2 linked regions of the Arabidopsis thaliana genome follow. The protein of the gene in region 1 purifies or fractionates together with the protein of each later gene. This does not show direct contact. Each region holds a gene or a part of one and is shown on either strand. Other genes may lie near its edges.

Region 1 (5,994 bases):
ACCAAATAAACCAAGATCGAAAATTAACTGGCATCGGAGATTTCGTCGGAGATTGAGACACCCACTTTAAGAAAATTTGATCTTCTTGCCTTACTTGATAATTAAAAATCTTCAGAAGAAAAACCTTGGGATACTTTGGATGGCAGACGGTGGAAACTCAGCTAAACATGCAGAGACCGTCGAGAACGCCGTGGCCGGAGATATCGACTATGCGACTTGAACCGGTAGAAAGAACCCAAAATCTGGGCGGATTTCGCCCTAGATCCGTATTGTTGAAGCTGTGTGAGGAAACCCAAAATTAGGTCACCCAACCCGAATCACCACAACACCGACAGTGAGTGGCATAGAGCGATCGTGATTAGGCCAGGGAGTATTTAGTCAGAGAAGAAAACCACGCTAATTTGCAAAATCACCAATCGAAACTATAGATCTAATAAGAGAAATTGAGGAGGAAACGAAATCGAAACCAACCCAGAAATCTCCTTAACCACAACTTAAAGAGACATAACTGAACATAAACCAAAAAGCCAAACCGACGTCATGACCGTGGTGGCTCACAACGCCGGCGGAATTGAAGCGGTGCTTTTGTTTTTAAGAGAGAAGGAAGAGGATATATTTTTTTTTTTTTTTTTTTTTTTTTTGAATATTAAAAATTGTTTACTTATGTTAGCTGATTAATATTAGTAGTATCAAAAACCGTCTGTTACAATTTTCCGATAAGGCCGTCCAATTGGTTCAATTGGCTTCAGCCCGACATCCACCGGCTTAGTATGCGGCGATGGTCGGCTTTCGTCCAGTAAATCCGGCTCCCATTAGCGGTTTTGGCTGGCTTGGTATTTTCATCTGCCGTGAATCGCTGCCGTGAATCGGTTTTATGCCGATTTCTTTTAGTCCTCTTTAGTTTATCTTTTAAAAATCTCTCTGATCTATGTTTGGTGGTGCCAACCTAACAATTTCTCGTTCAACGGTGGTCTCCAACTAGCTCCTTGAGTTTTGTTTTGTTTTATGTTTCCGGTGGTTTCCAGTGAGGTTATGCGGATATCTAATCCGACCAGATCGGGTGGATTTGCTGCTTTTTCTCTTGGATGTTCTCAAACTGGTTCTTCAGATCTTTGGTTACAACAAATCTTCATCGGTAATTATGTTCAATGTAATGAAAGAAGACTTGTTTCCAGCATATTAAGATTGCCTGTAGCTGTTTCAACATTCTCCGGTGACAAGCAACAACAAAAAACGATGCTTAAACTTTTTCCGGCGTCGATTGTGTTTACAATAGTCGGAGTAATTAACGGCGAAGGATGACGGAAAGTTTCCAAGCTTTTCTTGCAACACGTTTCATCTACGTATCTTTGTGTTTGACACGTGTATTGAGCAAAATTTTATCTTTAAGTGATGTAGCCATTTGGGCCATTAATGGGTTGTAACCATTGTGATGTGGATTTTAATAAAACTAAACCTTCAGTGAAAAAAAAAAAAAAGCTGATTAATATTAAAAATCCAACCAGTTTATAATCCAGAACAACGGTTTTCTTAAATTGACTAGTGACCCAAATTCTTAAATAGGCTACAAAAACCGCAGGCCCATTTAGTAATATCTATTTTTCGTTTGACTGAGAGAAAACAAAACACCATCCAATTCCAACGCACAAAAAAAAAAAAAAAAAAACTTATCGGAAACAGAAAAAAGAAGAGAGAGAGCTATCAATCGATCATTGATTGATTGCAGAGAAGCAGCGAAAGAGACATTTCCAAATCTAATCTCAATCCAATCCAATTCAGGTTTTTTCCATCTCTCTCTGTTGAGCTACTTCTGAATTAGCTTCTTCTATGTTCGATTTCCAGCTGTTGATAGTTTAGCTAGAGAATCAATTTCGAATTTCATCTTGAGGAAGCAATTTTAGTAATTTAGGTTTTGAATTTTCCTTTTGAGGTGTTGTAGGGTTGTTGCTACCTTCACGAATGACGACGACTTCTGTTTGCCCGTTCTCGAAAGCTGCTCGTCCTGACGATGGGTCGACTCGAAAACAAGGCGAAATTACCGCTTCTGGTTGTCCTTTTTCTAAAGCTGCTCGTCCCGACGATGCCTCTGCTCGAAAGCAAGGGGAAACGACGGCTTCTGGTTGCCCTTTTTCTAAATCTGCTCGTCCTGACGAAAATGGGAGTAAAGGATGTCCTGAACAAGAAGGAAACTTGAATAAGGACTCTACTGATTCTGCAACGGTACCTGCCAAGTGCCCTTTTGGCTATGACTCTCAAACATTCAAGCTTGGGCCTTTTAGCTGTATGTTATGTCAAGCACTTCTATATGAGAGCAGTAGATGTGTGCCTTGCACACATGTGTTCTGCAAGTAAGCCATAGTTGCTCGGCCGCTTATTTCTTTTTTGGCTCATGATTGGGTCTACTTTTCTTATACTTTGTGGTTTCTTGAATGCAGAGTATGCTTAACACGGTTTAAGGACTGCCCTCTATGCGGTGCTGACATTGAAAGTATTGAAGTTGATGAAAACCTTCAGAAGATGGTTGATCAATTTATTGAAGGCCATGCTAGAATTAAGAGATCTGTCGTCAATGGAACAGAAAAAGAAGAGGTCGAAAATGATAACAAAAAAGTGATTTACGCTGACGTTTCCATGGAAAGAGGTTCTTTCTTGGTGCAACAAGCTATGAGGGTGAGTTCTGTCTCTAAATTTTGTTGACCTAACCGATGGGATTATTCTCTTTTGCACCACTTACATTTGTTATGATGTCCCGCTGTGAGATCTTGTTCTAATTCAACTTGTATGCGCAGGCATTTAGTGCCCAAAATTATGAAAGTGCTAAATCAAGGTTGGCAATGTGTACCGAGGACATTCGGGATCAACTAGGGAGGGAGGGCAATACACCAGAGTTGTGTTCACAGCTTGGTGCAGTCCTTGGCATGCTTGGTGACTGTAGGTATGATATTGTCTTCTTTTTTATCCCAAGTTGTTTATTTCTAAGATGTATCCATTCTCGAGTTTCTGTGAACAATTAAGATTATGAAAACAACGGTGCTTTCGAATGTGGTCACCAATGTGGTCTTTTATGATCCCGCTTGAGCCACTTTGTTGTTCAAATTGATTTTTTTTAATTTGGAGTTTCTCAAGTATGTGGCCCTTCCTTGGCAGTTTCCTCAATTGATAGTTTCTCAAGTCGACTGGTTGTTGCTTTCATCTTGCTTAGAGTGCGCATGGCACTTTGGGAAATACTAAAATAATTTCTTTCTCGTTTGAACTAGATTCTGGTTTTCTAGATGGACCCTGTCTACATCAATTGACTGGAAATATATTCATATATTCAGATTTTTCTGTATCCTCTTATCATTTGCATACATCTTTCTCTGTGGTTCAATCACCTCGTTCAGAATAAATGGAAAGGAGAAGCAACAGTACATGCTTGGTTCGAAAAACCTACTTTATACATAATCATTTTCTCCTCCTGAACTGTGTTATTTTGGCCAAAATGTTTGATCTTCTGTTTGGTGTGTTGAATTTTTTCTTTTTCCGGGACTTAAGTTTGATGGTTAAATTATTTTTTGTTGTTGTTGCAGCCGAGCGATGGGAGACTCAAGCTCTGCAGTCAAGCATTTTGAAGAGAGTGTTGAATTCCTTATGAAACTGCCGTTGAATGATTTGGAGGTTATAGCACATTGGTTCTTGTTAAATTTTGATGTTGAAAACTTTTTACCTTTTTGCTTACAATTTTAACTTAACTTGCAGATTACACATACACTTTCTGTCTCACTCAATAAAATAGGAGATCTAAAATATTATGACGAAGATCTACAAGCTGCAAGGTCGTATTATGATAGAGCTTTAAATGTCAGACGTGATGCAATGAAGCACCACCCAAATGCTCCTTCACAAGTAAGTGTGCCCTCATACAGTTTTCTGTTTTTGCTCTTCTTTGTTTTGTCCCAATGTTTGGTTAGCTGAACTGGCTACTCTTAGTCGCCATATACATTTCAAGGTCTCGCAGAAAAATATCTGTTGTTAGCTAAGTTATTGACTTATTGTAGCATTCGTGAAGGCTCTTTTGTAGATCGTAATCTCTCACTCTCTAGGCAGAAAGCGTTTATTTATGTGATTGTTACATCTTGGTGTTCATTTGGGTCCAGGCAAAATGAATTCAAATGCATTAAAAGATATAGAGATTAACTTAAGGTGCTAGTGGATCAAAGGATCTGAAATACGATGTAAAGTGAAAATAGTATACTTGTTCTCAATGTGTTCAAGCGGGTTTCTTGGTTCACTCTTTTCATTTTACTTATTTGTTACTTTACCATGAATGTTCAGAGAAATTCTCTAAATAGTTTCCTAGATTTTATTCAAGTCAATTGCTATTTTGTTGCCTGGGTTGAACTGAGGTTTAGGTAACTGACGTGTTGTCGTTGCAGTATACATACTTGGATGAGGTGTCATTTAATTCTCTGCGATAAAGTTACTCTCTTTTGGATACATATAATTAGATTTACGTGCATTGTAATTGGGTTATTCTGTTGGTTGGAAATCTTCTCTTTGTTTTCTTATTTTATACTTGATTTCTTGCCTAGAGAAATTGGAACTCAAATATAGTAAGCAAAGGTCTGTCCGGAAGTAGAAATTGATTTCTTTTGTTATTTCTACATTTTTTATGTAGATTCTGGATGTGGCTGTTTCCTTAGCCAAAGTTGCGGATATAGACAGGACTCTACAAAATGAAGTTGCAGCGACAGATGGGTTCAAGGAAGGCATGAGACTGCTGGAATCTTTGAAACTGGACTCTGAAGATTCTGCTCTCGAGCAACGGGTAAGATTCTTGCACGACTCCCTTTTTATTTGTATCTTATCCAAAGCTGCTGAATGTCAGTAAAACTTTATCTGACAAATGTAATTTTAACATGCATGCAGCGGCTCTCTGTACTGGAGTTCCTTAAGAAGCAAGTAGAAACCGATGCTGAAACTGCACTCTAAACCGATGCAGGCTTAAGTACGTATATAGAAATTATACCTAAGTTCTCGTCTGTGGCATTTTGCTGAATAAAGAAAGCAAAAATGTTGTATTTGCGCTCAAGGGACAAAGAAACAGAGTTGTCTGTATGTTGTGAATTGTGATGGTTTTCAACTTTCAATGCACTAATCTTGCAATGTTAAATTGTTAAGCATGATTGTACTCTATGCACTTGTGAAATTTAAAAATTAAGATATCTTAAGCGGCTACAGCTGTGAACTGCTTTCTATTTCTTTTCAGTGCAAAATGAGAAAGAACCCAACAGAGATTGAGAGATGATGTGAAAGGAAAATGCAAGTATTTGCAAACTCAATCAGCTACAAAGAGTATAAATTGCGACAACAAAAATTTGTCTTTGTTGTTTTGTTGAATGAAGTTTTTCTTGTAACTACTCTTACAAAAATAAAAACATAAACATAGTCAATCCCTAAAGCCGATGATACTATGCAAACGACAAAGATATACTAACTCCAACGCACGAATCAACAAAATTAGGTCACTTTTACGAAAATAAATCTACATAATCAACAAAATTAGGTCAACTTCGTTCTATTTGTAAAGCTTTTTTCAGTATTTTTTTCTTTAATATGTTCACGTCTTTTAACTGTTCATATAATTACGTAACTAAATCTTTAACTTCGTATGTAAAACTATGTTTTTACGTATTAGATATAGAGAAATTGTTAAGAATGTTTTTCCAAAAATATGTTTTTTTAGTACTATCCTCCCATGTAATCATTTTTATTGATATTATCTTTTAATTATTAATGACTATTTTGCTTCTATTTGAAAATACTTAAATCAACAAAATGAAAAAATGATTTTTTCCGCCAAAAAATGTACTTCACATCAACTGCTATGAAACAATGTACTGATTTTATCAATTCACAAAAATTCTTGCCTCTAATCAATCGTGATTCAAGCAATCATGCAAAATCTTGAGTAACCAAGCCTAAAAAACCTAAAAACCTAATCAATTCTTAAAA
Region 2 (5,816 bases), on another chromosome or scaffold:
CTATATACCTTATTTTTGGGGTACGGAGACGATATTATTTATGTTGAGTACATTTGTTGGTAGACCTAGACGTAGGTCCACGAAATTATACTCTTGCATTATACACCTCAAAACTTAGATATTTACATAATTACATTTTATCGTTTAGTATAGTGCTTAAGTTCCGTCACATGCAATCAAAGTAAAGTCTTCTTGATTTCGTCATCAAGATATTGACTTTTCCTAAATGGATCCGAGATCTTGTTAACGACAACCAAAACACGTTAAATTTGTTATTGTTTTTCGTTAAACTGCAAAGTTATGAATTTTAAATGTATAAAATCCTGGACCATTAGCAAACACAGTTCACTATACCATTTCATTGGATAAATAATCTCTTAAGATGCGTAACTTCGATCTAAAATCTTCGCACACTACCACTTAACAAGTTGTAAAAAAAAATATGAGACTGAAAAATACATGAGAAAAGGATATTATTGGTGATTAAGTTTGATGTGGCTCCATGTGTCTAATTTCTGATTTGCGCTGAGGTTCTCTTTAAGAAAAGAAACTACTGGCTGAGAGACATCAGATTAATCAGACTGTATTAGCTGATTAAAAGTTAAGCGCAACAAAGTATAAGCATAATTAAAATTGGTCTGCTCTCATTATTCTTTTTGCATTTCCACTAGCAGCGGAATAATCAAATACTCCACCCCCACTTACATGTAAATTATAAATTATGAATGCGATGTAGCATCATAACGATTGACCAATTAAAAGGTCTGACGTGATGAGTGATGACTATGCCAATTTATCAAAATATGGACAGACATAAAACTTTTTTATCAAGATCGTGCGTCTGACATTAGACCCCAATAAAATTCCAACTATAAGCTCACGTCATAGATGCAGAAGATTAAAATACAAATAAAAATCCATTTTTAAAGTAGAACCAAATGGATGATAGTGATACTTGTTTACTAAGCTATATTAGTCATAGCTTTTTATTTATTTGCCTTAGAAAATAATCGTTAATATTTTGAAAAGAAGATTACAAACAGGAACTAGTACCCTTCTTTAAGCGTTTCATTGTCAATAAACGAGATTACTTAGAAACCAAACCGTAAGAGGAGCATATTGAGTTTATAGGATTTCACTTAGTCTTTAGAGATGATATCATTCAGAAGTTTGGCCTCACGTTAAGACGAGTTGCTAGTTTCTGTCCCAGAGATTTGTCTGCCTGAGACCAGTAAGAGATCCAAATGCTGCGGATTTCGTGCGTGACACGAGGCTCCGAAAGCGCTTCAACAAAACGCTTCACGAATCGTTCTTGCCTATTGGTACAAAACAAAAGACCATTAGAATGAATTATGACATTTGTGGTTCATGTGTAATTGTTGATTTTGCAATGTGGTTTTTGAGTTTTTAGTGTTTACCTGTCTGAATCCCAGGACCGGTATCTCTCCCCTGGTTGCTTGAAGTTGTTCTCCTTCCCGATGAAGCACTGTGATATAAAGATGACATTTGAGTTTTAACTATGACTTATGAGGATAAAACTTGTGATCAAAAATTAATGTATGTAGAGGACTCTGACCTTCTCACGATTTCCAGAGCAGACAATAGGAGTTGTAGGGTATTTTTCGGCATGGCGAACTGGATCCAACCTTGAAGGGAAGTAATTGACCTGGAATTGGAAAGCAACAAATTCACTTCATATAAATGTGATTGCGAATTTAAGTATCTGGGAGTTTCTAGAGCCGAGAGATAAGATTACCTCCTCATCCCTGTGCATGAAGTTCATAAAACCATCATGGTGATTGTTGTGGTGAGCACATTTAGGGGCATTAACAGGTAGTTGCAGATAGTTTGGTCCAAGACGGTGTCTCTGACTATCAGCGTAGGAGAAGATCCGGGTCTGGAGTAGCTTATCATCTGAATAGTGGATGCCTGGAACCACAAGAGCAGGACAGAATGCAATCTGTTCGTTCTCATTAAAGAAGTTGTCGATGTTTTTGTTCAAGACCAAGCGACCAACAGGTTGTAAAGGCAAGATATCTTCAGGCCAGATCTTTGTGACATCAAGCGGATCGAAGTCAAATTTGTCTTCATGGGCAGGATCCATCACCTGAACGAAGAGATTCCACTGCGGATAGTTCCCGGCTGCGATCGAGTCATAGAGATCTTTGGTGGCATGGCTGTGATTGGCTCCTCCAACTCTGATAGCTTCCTCATCCGACAGGCATTTGATCCCACAAGTCGGCTTCCAGTGGAATTTCACATAGTGAGCTTTTCCAGCTTTGTTGATTAGCATGTAAGTGTTGACCCCAGCGCCTTCCATGTGCCTGTAGTCCTGTGGGATACCGAGATCATCAAAGAGAAATGAAAACATGTGCAAACTCTCTGGGTGGTGGGAGAAGAAGTCCAGTATCCTCCAGTTCTCCTGAATGTGAGACTTGGGATTCGGTTTCAATGCATGGACCATGTCAGGGAATTTCATTCCATCACGGACGAAGAATACAGGGAAGTTGTTCCCAACAAGATCAAAGTTCCCCTGAGTTTGCAAACAGAGGGTAAGAGGAATCATCAGTATAGTATGATATGATTTGCAAGTAATCATATAGGTGGTGAAACGAAATAGATAAGCAAATAAACGTTTGAATATCAGCAAACACATCGATATCGGTTATAGAAAATAGAGAGACAATGGAAGGATAAGACAAAAAGCTAACCTCTCTGGTGTAAAACTTAACAGCAAAACCACGGGGATCTCTGAGAGTCTCGGGACTGCCACGCTCATGGATGACAGTTGAGAAACGAACGATAACAGGAGTCTGAACACCAGGTCCTCGAAGAAAATCAGCAGAAGTAAGTTGGGTAATGTCATGAGTGACTTCAAAGAAACCCTTAGCACTGGCTCCCCTGGCATGAACAACCCTCTCAGGAATCCGCTCCCTGTCAAAGTTAGCGAGTTTCTCAAGCAGATGATAGTCCTCCAGAAGGATTGGACCTGACAATATATAAAACCATCGCTTAACATATCTAAAAATCCAAGCAACTGAGACAGAATCAACATTGAGGAATTATATCAGATTTGGCATAAAACTGAAGGAAGAAATGTGATTTACGCAAGTCCACAACAAAAACACTAATGACATTATTATCCAAACGTTTATAAAATTATTTGGCTTCCACTACTCTAGCTTTAAGGGCATTTCTAACAACCACTGGTTCAACATATTTGTTATAATTTGTATTCAAGAGATAAGAAAGAGAAACGGACCTCGAGTTCCGACAGTCAAAGAAGAGTTGTTGTTCCAGACAGGAGCACCCGAGTTTGTAGTGAAGAAAGGGGAATCATGAGCGCTTGAAGGACGAACCTGCACACCAACAAATAAATTCAGAAGAACTGGATCACAAAAAAATTAACCAAATTTCCATAGATTGGAGAAACGTCTATGACAAATAATGATACATTGATACTTGATACATAACAATTCCACATAAGTATATATGATCAATTAAAAAAATACGATACAAGCAACAATGATATTCACAATTGAACACAGTGATTAAAATAACTTTAAAAAAATCGTAAAGAAACCTTAAAACATGTACAACGATATTGACAGATCACGTCAGCCTTAAGACTTGTGTATTAGAACATGAGCATGAGCATGAGCATGTTGACAAATAAACAATCAATAGACGGAAAAACATGTTGAATTTTCCAGTGGAATCTTCAACGCATGCAAATCGAAACCCAATCTCCACTATATAATAAAGAAATCGATTCACACAAAAAAACCTCAACAAGTCGAACAATCACCCCAATTTTGCATCATTTTAACCGAGAGAGAGAGATCATTCATACACTTTGGATTCAACACGAAATCACACCAAATCGATACGAAATCAAGTAAGGTAAAATCACAGATTACAAAAAAAGAGAATCAATCGATGTACCCTGTATGGATCCATGATGCTTGAAGACAATTTTGATCCGAATTTTTCTTCTTTTGCGATTTTTAGGTGAGACTGTGTGTATCTCGCAAATCGGCGTGTGTCTGCACTGTTGTCGATTTTTTTTTTATAGCGAGAGCCAAAATATCTTATTTTAGCTCAACACCAAAACACGTATGTGTTTTGTCTTTGTTAATCCTTATCCAAATGATAATCCTCGTATTAATAGTCAAACTAATTACGTGTGGATGATATCGTCTTTGATTTCGCCAGATACTATACCATAATTAGACAATTGTTGATCCATTTCAGGATTCTCCTTAAAATAATACATGTTCAATTACGGTATCTTCTCTTTTTTTTCCTGAATTAATAATATGTATAACGACCACCATAAATCTTAGAAATTGTTTACTGCTTCAAGAAACATTGATTTATTGTAAAAAGAGATTACAAAGACAGTGAGAGTAGAAAGGAAGGAAACATGAGTTTTTGGGATTACAAGCATTATTATTATATAGACAAGAAACAACAACACATGTGATTATCTTTTTGACGGATTTAACGACCAAGCGATGATAGATCGATGAGATTGATTGTACCTCACATAGACTGAGCTTATATGGAGATTGGCCTCTAGATGCTTGGCCTCACGTTCAGACGGCTTGCAAGTTTCTGTCCCAAGGATCGATCAGCCTGAGAGATACAGAGAGATAAATAATGTTTTAGTTTGCTGAAACTTGGTAAAAAGGACGTAGAAATTTGACCGAGTGTTTTTTTGTTCTGACCTGAGACCAGTAAGAGATCCAGATGCCGCGGATCTCGTGGGTGAGACGTGGCTCCGATAGAATCTCCACCCATCTCTTAACAAACCTGTCTTGCCTGTCTGGTGCCCATGATCTGTACCTGTCTCCAGCCTGTTTGAAGTTGTTCTCTTTCTTGATGACGCACTGCAACATTAGCAATTAAAAGGTTTTCTTAGCACCAATATTCTAATAAACTTGAGTTTAGGATTTGAAGATTTAGAGAAGGCATGGCAGGAATCGGACCTTTGTTCGAATTCCAGTGTAGGAGTTTGTAGGGGTGGGAACTTTCTCAGCGCAGCGGACAGGATCAAACTTTGAGGGGTAGTAATTGATCTGTAAAAAGTACAAACCAAATGAGAATTTTGATTCCAAGTAAAAAGACTAACAATGGTAGCTCAAGTGGTGTACTAAGACGTACCTCCTCATCTCTGTGCATGAAGTTCATAAAACCTTCATGGTGATTGTTGTGGTGAGCACATTTGGGAGCATTGACTGGAAGCTGCAAATAATTCGGTCCAAGGCGATGTCTCTGAGTGTCACCATAAGCAAAGATCCTACACTGGAGCAGCTTGTCGTCTGAGTAGTAGATTCCAGGAACCACAAGACCCGGGTTGAACGCAAGCTGCTCAGTTTCATTGAAGAAATTGTCAATGGTCCTGTTCAGAACCAAGCGACCAACCGGTTGCAGAGGCAAAATATCCTCAGGCCAGATCTTGGTCACATCAAGTGGGTCAAAGTCAAACTTATCCTCATCTGCAGGATCCATGGTCTGGATGAAAAGTTTCCACTCGGGGTAGTTGCCAGATGCAATGGCATCGTGGAGATCCTTAGTGGCGTGGCTGTGATTGGCTCCTCCAACAACCTTGGCCTCTTCATCAGTCAGATTCTTGATCCCACAAGTTGGTTTCCAGTGGAACTTCACAAAGAGAACTTTTCCAGATTTGGCAATAAGAGTGTAGGTGTGGACACCGAAACCCTCCATGTGCCTGTAATCTTGTGGAATACCAACATCATCAAACATCCAGCACCATGTGAGCAAACTCTCAGGCAAGTGGGACATGTAGTCCA

Evidence for each region.
Region 2: the proteins of AT3G54360 (region 1) and CAT1 purify together in Arabidopsis thaliana (affinity purification with mass spectrometry, with the first as the bait; one study listed by BioGRID). This does not show direct contact.

Annotation. Positions count from the first base shown.
Region 1 is NC_003074.8:20,127,547-20,133,540, reverse strand, and holds AT3G54360 (zinc ion binding protein), read left to right. Parts: upstream 1-1,627; 5' UTR 1,628-1,779; intron 1,780-1,939; 5' UTR 1,940-1,959; coding exon 1,960-2,348; intron 2,349-2,435; coding exon 2,436-2,670; intron 2,671-2,789; coding exon 2,790-2,935; intron 2,936-3,569; coding exon 3,570-3,657; intron 3,658-3,738; coding exon 3,739-3,885; intron 3,886-4,657; coding exon 4,658-4,807; intron 4,808-4,908; coding exon 4,909-4,971; 3' UTR 4,972-4,987; exon of another isoform or gene 4,988-5,248; 3' UTR 5,249-5,414; downstream 5,415-5,994. Other genes in the region: AT3G54363 (uncharacterized protein), read left to right, coding at 1,006-1,302. UniProt on the Arabidopsis thaliana protein: Has holdase chaperone activity that may fold catalase to a functional structure. Not required for the peroxisome import of catalases. Required for the activity of catalases and acts mainly at the post-transcriptional level.
Region 2 is NC_003070.9:7,144,956-7,150,771, reverse strand, and holds CAT1 (catalase 1), read right to left. Parts: upstream 4,137-5,816; 5' UTR 3,961-4,136; coding exon 3,946-3,960; intron 3,360-3,945; coding exon 3,263-3,359; intron 2,990-3,262; coding exon 2,712-2,989; intron 2,534-2,711; coding exon 1,757-2,533; intron 1,667-1,756; coding exon 1,577-1,666; intron 1,487-1,576; coding exon 1,419-1,486; intron 1,317-1,418; coding exon 1,163-1,316; 3' UTR 592-1,162; downstream 1-591. Other genes in the region: CAT3 (catalase 3), read right to left, coding at 4,579-4,638, 4,731-4,892, 4,992-5,081, 5,167-5,816. UniProt on the Arabidopsis thaliana protein: Occurs in almost all aerobically respiring organisms and serves to protect cells from the toxic effects of hydrogen peroxide.